4 linked regions of the Yarrowia lipolytica genome follow. The protein of the gene in region 1 binds, or shares a complex with, the protein of each later gene. Links are inferred from orthologs where the notes say so. Each region holds a gene or a part of one and is shown on either strand. Other genes may lie near its edges.

Region 1 (3,089 bases):
CGAGCAGATTGAGGAGGAGGAAGTGGCTCTCAAGGAAAAGGAAGCCAAGGCTGTTGGAATCCCTAAACATGTCGAAGATGTCGCGAAAATCCCTGGTGACGTTGAAGAAGTCGCAGACTATAAGTAGAAGTCGACTAGAATTGGCTAGTCCGTCCGTTGTGAGGGCACTTGTAAAAGTACAATTGTGTACGAATAAATTATACATGATTATCTTGTTGTAATCATTCCCCTGACCGCACCTCCATTATCCAATGAACCATTGCATACCTTTCCATTATCTATATACTCCACGCACTGTGCCACTCCCGTCAGTCTTACTCATACCACATTTTAATCAGCTCCTCAGAAACGCCACTTGGAGTGAGAACTCCCAGATCTGTGATAAGTGCAGTGATGTAATCGTGAGGCGTAAAGTCGACGACTGGCGACAGACCCTTGTCGGCATTCTGCTCCTCGGGCTCCTCAACAGTGAAGTGGAACATCTTTTTGGTGTCTGGCAGATCGGCCTGGGCCAGAGGGAAGATTCGCACAAACTTGTGACTCTCGGTGACCACGTAGAAGGGCTTATTTGCGTTCTTGGCTAGCACGGCAATCTGATATGATCCGACGTGGTTGATGACTCCTCCAGACTCCGCCACTCCCTCGGCACCACAAAACACCTTGGACACCTCGTCAATCACAGATCCGACGGCGTTGTCCACAATTAGACTCACGGGAATGCCTCTCTCCCTCAATGCCTTGGCCATTCGCTTACCCTGATCACTAGGAGCAGCCTCTGTGACAAACACTCTGAAACGCACCAAGTTCTTAGCAGCATGTTCCAGAAGGGCCAGTACCGTTCGCGAGAAAGAGTGGACCAGAATGACATCGTCATCCCGCACAAATGCTAGACCCTTTTCCGAAATGGTCTTTCGAGCAGCCTTACTTCGCTCGGCAAACAGCCTTCCGTTCTTTACCAAATGGCCCTTGCAGGCCTCCCAGTCGCCATATTCCCGGATATTTCGCAACACAAATCGCATAAACAGATCACAGCCTGCAGAAAGCGACATAGAGTTGTCCACAGACGTCTTGAGCTCCGCGCTCGCCTCCTTGAGAGTCTGAATCAGCTCGGCTGATGTGCTGGTTTCGGTCTCACTGAGCAGCTGGACCAGGGCCTCAATGGCCGCGACAGGCATGGTGATGTCGGGGTCGTCCCGCAGAAAGCGCAGATATGTCTCTTTGATGTCGAATTTGGCCATGCTGGATTACTTGTAGTGGTCGATTTGCTCTATGCTGCAATTTTTGGTTAGGTTGGGATTAATATTTTCAGAATCCTGAATCACGTGACGATATGAGATTGGCCCAGTTACCCGGCAGTTCGAACGTCGACGAATGTACTGATACGCTGAGTTAGAGAGGGGTTGGAAGGGCTTGTGGTGGTTGAGGGGTATATTAAGGTCACATGACTGTATGTTAAGCAAGTGCTCATGTTTTTTCCGGTCCCCATCCCCTGTCTGATGCCCTTGTGTGGTGTACTTGAGCAGTTGGGAGTTACTTAGCATGTTCAACTAAAGGCTAAGTACTGCATGTCCTGCTGTCGAATAAACTTCGTGCAGCTTACTCATCAGCCATCTGAACAAATACACGAGCTAATTTTTTCACAATCACCAAAATGCTGGCTCGACTGGTAAACGGACTACGGGGTGAGTAACGCTAGAAATGGGGAAGGAAGAGACTTGGAAGGCATTCAGCGAAGCCATGCAATCAGCAGATCGATTCTCAGCGACAATACGACCGTGCCAAACGACACGGTGAGAGTGAAAAATTTCGGATCGGAAGTTCACGAATGACTGCACAACTTAAGGAACCTAGGGAATAAGGAATCCCTGTCATTCCAACAGGTCTATCCGAGTCGACCACCCTCAATACCGTGCTCCTCTGACGGCCGTACTAACTCAGCTACCCGCCCTACTGTCGTGTCTCCTTTTGCTGTTCCCACTCTGGGCTCCATTCGACACAAGCACGAGTATGCACCTCGATTCAAGAACCTACGAAAGGCCCAGCGAGGCCGAATCACTGTCCGAACCGGAGGATCCACTCGAGGCTCCACGGTCGAGTTTGGCCAGTGGGGCCTGCGTCTTGTTTCTGAGGGTGTGCGGCTGTTTGACAAGCAGCTCAAGGCCGCTGACGGAGCCATTGCTCAGCTGATTCGAAAGGCCGCTCCCGGCTCTCAGCTCTACCGACGGTTTCTGCTCTCCACCCCCGTCACTCGAAAGGGTGTCAATATCCGAATGGGTAAGGGTAAGGGAGATATCGAGAACATGGCCACCCGATGGCCCACTGGAAAGGTGGTATTTGAGGTTGGAGGCCAGATGCACGACCAGGTTGTCAAGGAGGCCTTCAAGCGAGCTTCCAGGCGTCTGCCGGGCCGATGGGAGGTGATCAAGAAGGGCGATCTGCCTGTTGTTGGCTCCCAGGAGGTCCCCGAGGCCACCCCCCGAAACTACCTGCAGGAGATGTCCGAGAACCCCACCAAGCGGTTCCAGGCCCTGGAGGACTCCAAGAAGGAGGAGTTTGTCAAGTACCGACGACGATAAATGTATATAGTAACATATTTGATATTGAGAGTGTGAAATGTAGATGTGTGTAGAAGACTTGTATCAACAAACGCGCCAGTACAGTGACGAAACCTTGGTTCCAGTGAAGAGTTACGAATCGGAAGGGTGAGCAATCTCTGTTGTTTGCTAGACGTTGTAAAGTGCAAACCAAGGTGTTACTATGGGGTATATCGATATCTCAGTATATACCGGCACATACTGTACAATACTGTACTTGTGATGCCATTGCAAGCTGGATCATAGGTCGTATGACTCCTTTTTTACGACGTTGGACCTGTGTACTCGTGCGCTATATTCTCGGTACTGGATCCAAATTAGAGACCAAAGAGGTTGTTTGAGAGACATTATCTGCCAACTGAAACACGGTTTCTTCACAAACACGTACTATTCACCAGGATATATATTCTATTTCGTACTCAGCATCCTCACACTACCCAGCCAAGGTTTATGCGAGATATGCAATAACGTTCGAAAATTACGGACCTGAAAAAA
Region 2 (2,676 bases), about 370 kb from region 1:
ACTAACGCAAGCATTCATGGTACAGATGGGTGATCCCACAGGTACAGGCAAAGGCGGGGAGTCGATTTGGGGCGGCAAATTTGAAGACGAAATCAAGCCGACGCTGCGACACAACTCCAGAGGCATACTCTCCATGGTCAACTCCGGCCCCAACACAAATGGAAGCCAGTTCTTTATAACTTACGACAAGCACTTGAGTCTGGATGGCAATTACACTGTGTTTGGGAAAATGATCGATGGTGAGGACGCTCTAGTGAAACTCGAAGGAGTTGAGGTAGACAAAAAGAATCGACCAGTCGCCCCTGTATTCATCAGGAGTGTGAGCATTCACGCGAACCCATTTGCACAATAGCACATGGAATGGAGAGCAAACACCGTACAGCCACACATCCCTAACCTATCACGCAGAGGGCATGGTCACCAAACTACGACCCAGTCACAGTACAACGAAATACAAGCATCCTACCTCTTCACATCTATAATTAACTATGTACAAATCATGGCTTAGTCATCGGACTTCTTAGGCTCCTTGCCTCGAGGCTCAACGGCTCCTCGTCGGGTCTTCGTCTCCTCGAAAAGAACCATTCGTTTAACTGAGTTAGTAAACTGGCGTGGTCAGCTCTCTGGGACCACGATCTCATGGAGACGATCACGAGAAATCGAGCGTCCAGTGCCACACCCACTAGCCGATGCTGCATCGCGACACCACTGCGATCACCTCATCCACTGCAACGGGTCTCAGCCCTCGACAGCCTCATCTTTCCAGTAACTCACCTATAGGGTCATACTTCACTTGAGTGATGGGACGAGCCACACGAGGTCGGAAAACGGTTCGCATGACACCGGTTTTCGCCGAAGAAAAGAGTTTGATGACAGTGTTCTTGCTTCGTACTGTGTTAGTAAAGCAGGGGGAGGTTTCTGTGGGCGCCAACAATACCTACCAGCCATGTTGTGTTCTCTTCTGATCTGATGTCAAATTCAAGTGGTGGTTCAAGATGCGTGTGATAATTTTAAGCGGGATTAAGGTTACATACCAGATTGGCCTGTTTGTCATCACGGACACAACTCAAAACCACCAACACAGAACATGAGCGGTCATATTGGGAAGATATCTGGGAAGTTGTTTCTTGATGGGCAATTTGCTACGTTGGCCGATCTAGAGTCTTTGGACCAGCTTGAATCCGAGCTTCTGGAGAAGGAGGAGCGGTTGAACATTGACATCACTGAAGCACACAATGAAGCCTCCAGTTTGCTTGTACAACATGCACAGGCAGTCCACGACTCGGTTGAAGAGGGTGACAAGAAATCAATCATTGCGGCACTGGAAGACCTCAGCAAGCATGAGCTGGTCGACACCAACAAGGATGTACAGACTGCAATCAAGAAAGCCGAGAACCTGGCATCCTCTGAACACCACATCGGCAACCTCCTGTCTTTGCAACAAAACTACAACACTTCAACGGAAACCGATTCAAGTGCCAGGATCAAAAGCGCAATTCAAGAATATCTGGAATTGAACCGCAGAGATGTTCCTACTGCGGTGGAAGCTTTACATAAGCAATGGAGGAAAAAGCTTCAGAGGTCCGCGCACACTGAGCTTCAAAGACTTTCGCAGGAGGCAGAAGAGGAGCTGGTGAACTGCCAGTACCCTTCAAAGGAGTTTCAGCCATCAGAACGGCTGCTATCGACTCTAGAAGAAATGATATTCCTTGACAGCTCTCTTAGAACCCAGTCGACAGCTGACCCCCAAGGGGTGCCGCTGCAGGCTTTCTTGGTTTTGACTGCGCCTTATGATATCAGATTACGGTTCCATTTCGAAGGAAACAAAGATACGAACCAACCTGACAAGCCTGAATGGTTTTATTCTTACTTTCTAGACATTGTTGAGGAGCAGGAAAACTTCTTGCAGGAACACATGCAACCTCTGTTGGGTGACAGCGACAAAGTAGCTCTCAATGAGTTCATCTGTGCATTGATTCCATCGGCAATCCGCAAAGCCTCGGTGTTGTTCGATGCTCTCCGTGATACATCTACAGAGCTATCCCATCTCCTCTACGAAACAGTAGTGTTTGAGACCGCTCTTAAAGAGCGTTATTTCTACAGCCCCAACAGAGGAAACTGGGTGGGAATTTCAGGGTCTATTCTCACGCCTTCGAGGTTTGATATTTGGCTCAATGTTGAACGAAATTTTGCGGTTTCGCGGTTTCACGCTATTATTCAGCTTCCCGACGCTTGGGAAATTGACTTTGATGGCGTGGAAAGAGGTGCGACCAAACCAACGAAGAGTGCGCTAATGGTCAAAGATCTGCTGGAGGGTGTCACTGACCACTACAGAAGTCTGGCTAGTGTCACATACAGACTCAAGTTCTTGATAGGTATTCAGACGACAATTTTGGATCTTTATCACGAGCAACTGCATGAACAAAATCTGCTTCTGGAATCGAACATATCTCTATTGTCGAGGGCTCTTGTGGGAGCCGCTGATAAACAGAAAACGGGGGGATCAGAGGGTATCTGGAGGGTGTGCAGAATTTTTGGAAGTGCGAAGTTCATGATAGAGACCCTCCAAGTTTGGGGTGAGGACGTCTTTTTTCTGGAACTTTGGCGCGATATAACCTCTCTCAACAACTCCTCGCGAAAAGAAGGTGGTATCGACAATGATGCCATGCAGACCTC
Region 3 (2,812 bases), on another chromosome or scaffold:
ACTTTCAGACTTGAGTCGTTAACGATATGGCCAGTGTTGAAGGCGGAGAATTGAGGGACCGAGGGAGGATCGGAGGAGTGTTTATTGTTTCATTTGGTGATATTGTCAGATGTATCAGCTTTTAAGCAAATTTAAAACAATATTGGTGGATAGATAGTGTTCATGTTGAGTCTTAACTAATGGGACAGTTTAGTTGATACTGTTTATTGGAAAAAGGAGATAAACCTCGAGAGATGAGATGTTCCACTGTATAAGCTACTGTAATTTAGAGCAAAGGGGAACAAATGATCTCACATGGCCGCACTTGTGTATTTGGCATTGATTCAGAAGCCGCCTGACACTGTAAGGAACTGAATGTGACCATGCTCGAATATTGGAACACTGGAGTTGTGACACAGCTGCTCGCAAGCTGCCCATGTTGGCATGTCACATACAAGCACATGTAGTGATCCAGCCCTCCATCATTCCTACTCTCAGCTCTCCTTCCATATCCTTCCATTCACTATATACATTTACTTGAAGAGGAACTTCTTTCGCTTGGCGGCTGCCTTCTTGACGGAGGCCTCGAGATCGCCAACATCCAGACGCTTGTGGCCTCGGATGTAGTACAGACGCTCGGCGGTGTACTTCTGGGTGGCCCGTCGGATAATCTTGACAGACTCGACGGTTGGAGAGAAGATCTTGAATCGTCGGTCGATTCCGATCTTGGTGATCTTAGATCGCAGCAGCAGGTTAGAGGACAGTCCTCGGAAGTCCACCACCATGGTGAGGCCCGTGAACAGAGAGCCATCAGTGGTCTTGATCTGCACAATGTCTCCGGGCTTGATTCGGTCAGCGGATTTGGGGTTCATCAGCTCCATCTTGACGCCCTGGGGATCAAACTGCTTCATCAGCTTGTCAGTGACGTGTGTAAGAGCGTTCTCGGTACCCAGACGTCGGGGGTGTCGCTCGTAGATGTTGACGGTCTTTGGCTCTCGCTTGATGGTCTTGAATGTGGCCATCTGCATCACGGGCAGACGCACCGCTGCCAGCGATGGACGGATCAGTCGAGCCAGCATTTTTGTGCAAGTGTGGTGATGCTGTATACTGACTGTTGGTGTGCTCTAGGGCCTATTTTGGTTAAATTTTCAGTCGCGGTTAGGGTTTGCGGTTTGTAATGCTGGGAAGATGAGTCCGAGACGATGAGAAAACAAAGGGAGAGGGGCTATAAGAATGAATGAGCCGATGCGTCCGTGGTGTTCCTCTACCATATGGCTCGAATACTGTAGTAATTTTCGTCTTTCTACAATGAGTTTGCCTTTGTTGAATCGTTTTGTAATGTTTTCTTGTTTTTCTACAGTTTAGGGCTCTCAAGACGGTACAGAAGAGAAGATCGTGACAAACAAATTGATACCGAGAATGTTTTTGTGAAGATGGCGTCTTGGTGCTGTTATTCTACCCATATTATTTTCTCACAACCAGTTACCAACCGCTCTAATTCAGTCTCATCCAGTCCAAAGTGCTTATTCTGGATCGGTACATACATACAAGTAATGTAGTGCTTGGTCGAGTTTTTCCTCACTCGTACCATGCACCATAATCTGAACCATAATATAATTTGTATCACCAACATCCATCCAGAGCACAACACCACGGTACACAAAACCCTCGCCTCGCCACCACCACCGACATGCCCACTATATTCATCTCCACCCCCAGTGGTCTGAGAGATATCCAGAAACACGTTTTGGCTGATGATGATGTCCACGTCGCTATCGAAAGCGCTCTCAAAGAACTGCCCCCTAACGCCACAGCCAAGGGATATCTCAGCACCAGAGGAGGCCAGAGTCTTGAGAGCCTGTCTGCTGCAGCTGGTGACATCTACTTGCGCTGGAATATGCGTCTTTGCGGTGGAAAGGGTGGTTTCGGGTCCATGCTGCGAGCCCAGGGAGGACGTATGGCCCGAAAGAAGAATAGAAAGAAGACGGAGACGGAGAACGACTCTTTTCGAACGCTGGACGGCCGCCGAATGAAGAGTATCCGGCAGGCCAAGGAGCTTGGAGAGTACCTCAGCACAGCCGACGAGATCAAGAAGAAGGAGGCCGAAGAGAAGAAACAGAAGCTGCTCAACATTCTGCAGAAGGAAAAGACCAGTGGGTCCAGTCGAAAGAGCAAGTTTGAAAACACACGACTGCTGGAAGACCATGAAGATGCCGTTCAGAAGATGCGAAAGGACGCGGAGATGGCTGCTCTGGCTGTATCCGAAATTGATACTGCCTTGTCATCTTCTGCAGGATCTTCCAGCTCGAATGTGAAGGCCAAGGGTGGAGATTTCTTTGGTATGGACTTCAGCGAATCCGAAAGTGAGTCTGAGTCCGACACCGAGTCTATATGAGCCGATAAAGACTCTCTGGGCCTCTACCCGTTAACAATTATTTATAAAGAGATTATTTATTGACAAGCAGATGCCAGCAGCGAAGGAGTAGGGTTCCTGGGGATGGTACTGTATGACATCGAAGCATACATGATAGATTGTACAAAATGTTCTCCACTTTTGGAAGTGCTCCTGGCTTCCATAGAACCGCCGTATGTACAGATATCTCTGTGTGTGAAACAACACGCACGCTATTCAAAACGCCAAGGGTAGTATAACAGCACAGATATCCTAATCGATCCAATGTTTTCGTTCGATCATTTGTGTCCGAGAATTTTCTATACAACAGATTCCTCATTTATTGCACTTTCTTGACTCCATAGATTATCACTACTGTACCGTGCATGACACGTGACTCTCATCAAAATTTAGGTCCAATATGCAAAGTTTGAGAAAACT
Region 4 (2,892 bases), about 170 kb from region 1:
AAACATGCCAGAGGCACAGTCATCGTGAGTACACAATCGGAAAAGACACAAACGGGAGCTCGAGGTTGTGCGTGTAAAGCAGGTCAGAGCGTTCAGCAAGACCCCTTGGGGACTCCTGATTTGAACACAGGTTATGGACACGTCATTCAGGAGTCAGGGACGATTTGGTTAACCTTTGCTAGGTGAGAAGAGAATGGAAACGTGGAGGCCGAGACTGAGTCTCGCGAGCATGACGCCGTGTCATTTTGTGTGTCTGTCGACGCTCTTGGCCATTATATGCTCATTTGTGTCATCCTTGTGACACAGACTGAGTTGAACCGACCTCCGTTCTTGGTCCTGTGACTGGCTCTGGCTGTGAAGACAGGTTCTGAGGTTGTCTCTGTGCCACCGGCCAGGGTGTTCAGAACTAGTTGCTTCAAACCAAGCCATGTTCTCAACTAATCTCGCTGTCAGTGTGTCTGAGCTGCAACAATAAGCGGAAAAATGACCGGGATTCAGCTCAAATGTCGGTATGCTTCGATAGACAGCACCTCAGACTGTTACCCTTGGCGCCTCTGAACTATGCCACGGCCAGAACTGCTCCATGGGCTCTTTCCAACCTCCTAACACCCTGTAGGGTGTTGTCCACTCGTTACCCCGTACCTCCGACCACACTCATCACGGTTACTAACTCAGAAATCCAAGATATCGGCGATACGCCCTACCACTTGGTGGAGCCCATTCTCCGCAAGTTCAAGTGCCGCCAAATGCTCCACATTGAGTCCATCTCTCCACATATTGCACGCGACTCGGAACCAGTATGGAAGCACTTCATCGGTCGCGACTTTTCTGACCGCCCATTACCAAAAAAGAACTTCAAGGAAACATACCTGCGCTACCAGGAGGAAAAGGAGACTCGTTTGCGCGAGAGCAGTAATCGGCTCAAACGAAACATTGCACGTGAACAACAACGCAAGTCGGAAATCATGATCACCCAGTTGGACGTGGACCCGCGGGCTGAGTCTTCTCAGCGACGACAATACATTCAGCGAGCAAAGTCGTCTGTTGTGGGTCGATTGCGACTGGAAATGCGTTCCAAGGGCAGCATGTTTTCCCCCAGCAACCCCACATTTCTGGAAACGAACCGCAAGTCGTTTTTCGACCGCACAAACAGAAACCAACCACGTGACCCTACACGTGACCCCCAGCCCTCTGCGGGTCGTGATACCGTCCGTGTCAATGGAGGCTTCAATTCGGACCACCGCATTTCGTCCATTCCGGTTCCTGTTGAAGCCATGAGCACCACATCCTTGAAGCGACCTCTCAAACGGCCCACTCCCATGCCCAAAACAAACGCCATTGGACACTCGAGCGGCAGCGCCTCGCCTACCAAGGTGCAGCGGACAGATATGGGTATTTTCAGGCGTGGGCCTGGACCCGAGACTGCGCCAGTCGTCACTTCGACCACTCCACCACAATCTCCTCCCCCAATCAATCGGCACGTTTCCCCGCCTCTGCCACCCGCGCAAGCGCCTCCCCCGCCATCTGTACCACCACTAACCAGAGCTTCTCCTCCGCCTCGGCGACAGAAACCCAGCTCGATATTTATTACTAGAAAAAAGTAGATTATTTATTGTATTATACGAGTACGAGTGAGCGACAGCAAGCTCTGCTTACCAATCACAACCTAGTAATGTCTAGTACATACTGTACTGTATTAGTACGGGGACAGGTACAGGCTGTTTGAATGTCAGAATTCATGTTTGTATTGAGGAAGAATCGCGGAGTGACTGTTGCTGTATCTCTTTTCCTGGAACGACCTCCCTCGGAATCGAACCCCCAACAACTTCAATTTCAATTTTAAAAGTTGCCAGGTGCAAATCGAACTTACGGCCGCTGCATGTCCCCTTCTGCCAGCTGAAAAAATACCTGATCTGTGCAACACCACACCACACCACACACAAGACCACAATGTTTGGAACCGTGCGAACGACCTGTGTGGCTCGGCGGGTGCCCCAGCTGGCCCTGCGAACCAAGCGAACCAAGACGGCCAACGATCTGGACCCTGGAGCGCGAAAGCTCGTGAACCAGATGTCGGCCATGTCGCCCAAGCGAATGGCTCCCAAGAAGCTCGAGCTCAGCCAGGAGGATCTGATTCGACACCGAATCGTGCAGGTGGCGTGGCGAGAGGAGCGGCTGGCCGAAAAGCTGGCCCGAGAGCAGCAACACAGACAGCAGTATGAGATGCTGCAAGACACGTGCGAGGAACTGCGAAAGGTGGACGGATTCCTGTTCAACGCCGCCGTGCTGCGAGTCAAGGGCAACAAGTTCCCCATCGAAATGCGAGTGCCTACCGAGACTCCCCCCAACAAAATCTGGCAGTCTGAGTGGAAGGCCGAGGTGAAGAAGTAGTGGTGGACACCAACACAACAGGACGTTACACAACCCCACAGATGGTCCCACCACTAGGATAAAATGTACATAGCAAAAGGTATGATTGATTGATTGAGAGTGAGACACCAGTGCGGGAGTTTGAATGAGGCAGCTGGAGACCTAGGGCACTGGTGAGGGGCTGGAGACCTAGGACAGCGGTGAGGGTCATGGAGTTGCTTCTCAATGACGAAATGACTCCAAGCCTCGTACGAACAGCCCGTTATGCACAGGATTCGTATAGAGACAAGTCAGCTCCTGGTCACACATCATAACGAGTGCAAACGGAGGCATAGAAGATTGCAGTAGTAACCACGGCGCAAGTCCTTCTGTTATCGGTGTTACCCGCAGATCTGTAGAGTGGTACAGCTCTTAGAAGGAACGGAACTGAGAGTATTCTCGCAATGGAGTGCACATTCGTATCAAGAACCGCTCTATAGTACAACCGCGTCGCTACACTCCACGCGCCTCAATCATGACGTT

Evidence for each region.
Region 2: YALI1_C25301g (region 1) and YALI1_C21634g share a complex: the UniProt entries of both Saccharomyces cerevisiae proteins name them as parts of the mitochondrial large ribosomal subunit. The link is inferred for Yarrowia lipolytica from reciprocal best matches to the Saccharomyces cerevisiae genes MRPL16 and MRPL39.
Region 3: YALI1_C25301g (region 1) and YALI1_F31744g share a complex: the UniProt entries of both Saccharomyces cerevisiae proteins name them as parts of the mitochondrial large ribosomal subunit. The link is inferred for Yarrowia lipolytica from reciprocal best matches to the Saccharomyces cerevisiae genes MRPL16 and IMG1.
Region 4: YALI1_C25301g (region 1) and YALI1_C23548g share a complex: the UniProt entries of both Saccharomyces cerevisiae proteins name them as parts of the mitochondrial large ribosomal subunit. The link is inferred for Yarrowia lipolytica from reciprocal best matches to the Saccharomyces cerevisiae genes MRPL16 and MRPL28.

What each region holds. Positions count from the first base shown.
Region 1 is NC_090772.1:2,528,864-2,531,952, reverse strand, and holds YALI1_C25301g (uncharacterized protein), read left to right. Parts: upstream 1-1,737; coding exon 1,738-1,790; intron 1,791-1,843; coding exon 1,844-2,576; downstream 2,577-3,089. Other genes in the region: YALI1_C25336g (uncharacterized protein), read left to right, coding at 1-127; YALI1_C25307g (uncharacterized protein), read right to left, coding at 315-1,238. UniProt on the Saccharomyces cerevisiae protein: Component of the mitochondrial ribosome (mitoribosome), a dedicated translation machinery responsible for the synthesis of mitochondrial genome-encoded proteins, including at least some of the essential transmembrane subunits of the mitochondrial respiratory chain.
Region 2 is NC_090772.1:2,162,870-2,165,545, forward strand, and holds YALI1_C21634g (mitochondrial 54S ribosomal protein bL33m), read right to left. Parts: upstream 949-2,676; coding exon 942-948; intron 892-941; coding exon 775-891; intron 594-774; coding exon 505-593; downstream 1-504. Other genes in the region: YALI1_C21626g (uncharacterized protein), read left to right, coding at 12-352; YALI1_C21639g (uncharacterized protein), read left to right, coding at 1,088-2,676. UniProt on the Saccharomyces cerevisiae protein: Component of the mitochondrial ribosome (mitoribosome), a dedicated translation machinery responsible for the synthesis of mitochondrial genome-encoded proteins, including at least some of the essential transmembrane subunits of the mitochondrial respiratory chain.
Region 3 is NC_090775.1:3,172,723-3,175,534, reverse strand, and holds YALI1_F31744g (mitochondrial 54S ribosomal protein bL19m), read right to left. Parts: upstream 1,059-2,812; coding exon 513-1,058; downstream 1-512. Other genes in the region: YALI1_F31733g (uncharacterized protein), read right to left, coding at 1,430-2,185. UniProt on the Saccharomyces cerevisiae protein: Component of the mitochondrial ribosome (mitoribosome), a dedicated translation machinery responsible for the synthesis of mitochondrial genome-encoded proteins, including at least some of the essential transmembrane subunits of the mitochondrial respiratory chain.
Region 4 is NC_090772.1:2,353,913-2,356,804, reverse strand, and holds YALI1_C23548g (mitochondrial 54S ribosomal protein mL40), read left to right. Parts: upstream 1-1,950; coding exon 1,951-2,391; downstream 2,392-2,892. Other genes in the region: YALI1_C23563g (uncharacterized protein), read left to right, coding at 504-1,604. UniProt on the Saccharomyces cerevisiae protein: Component of the mitochondrial ribosome (mitoribosome), a dedicated translation machinery responsible for the synthesis of mitochondrial genome-encoded proteins, including at least some of the essential transmembrane subunits of the mitochondrial respiratory chain.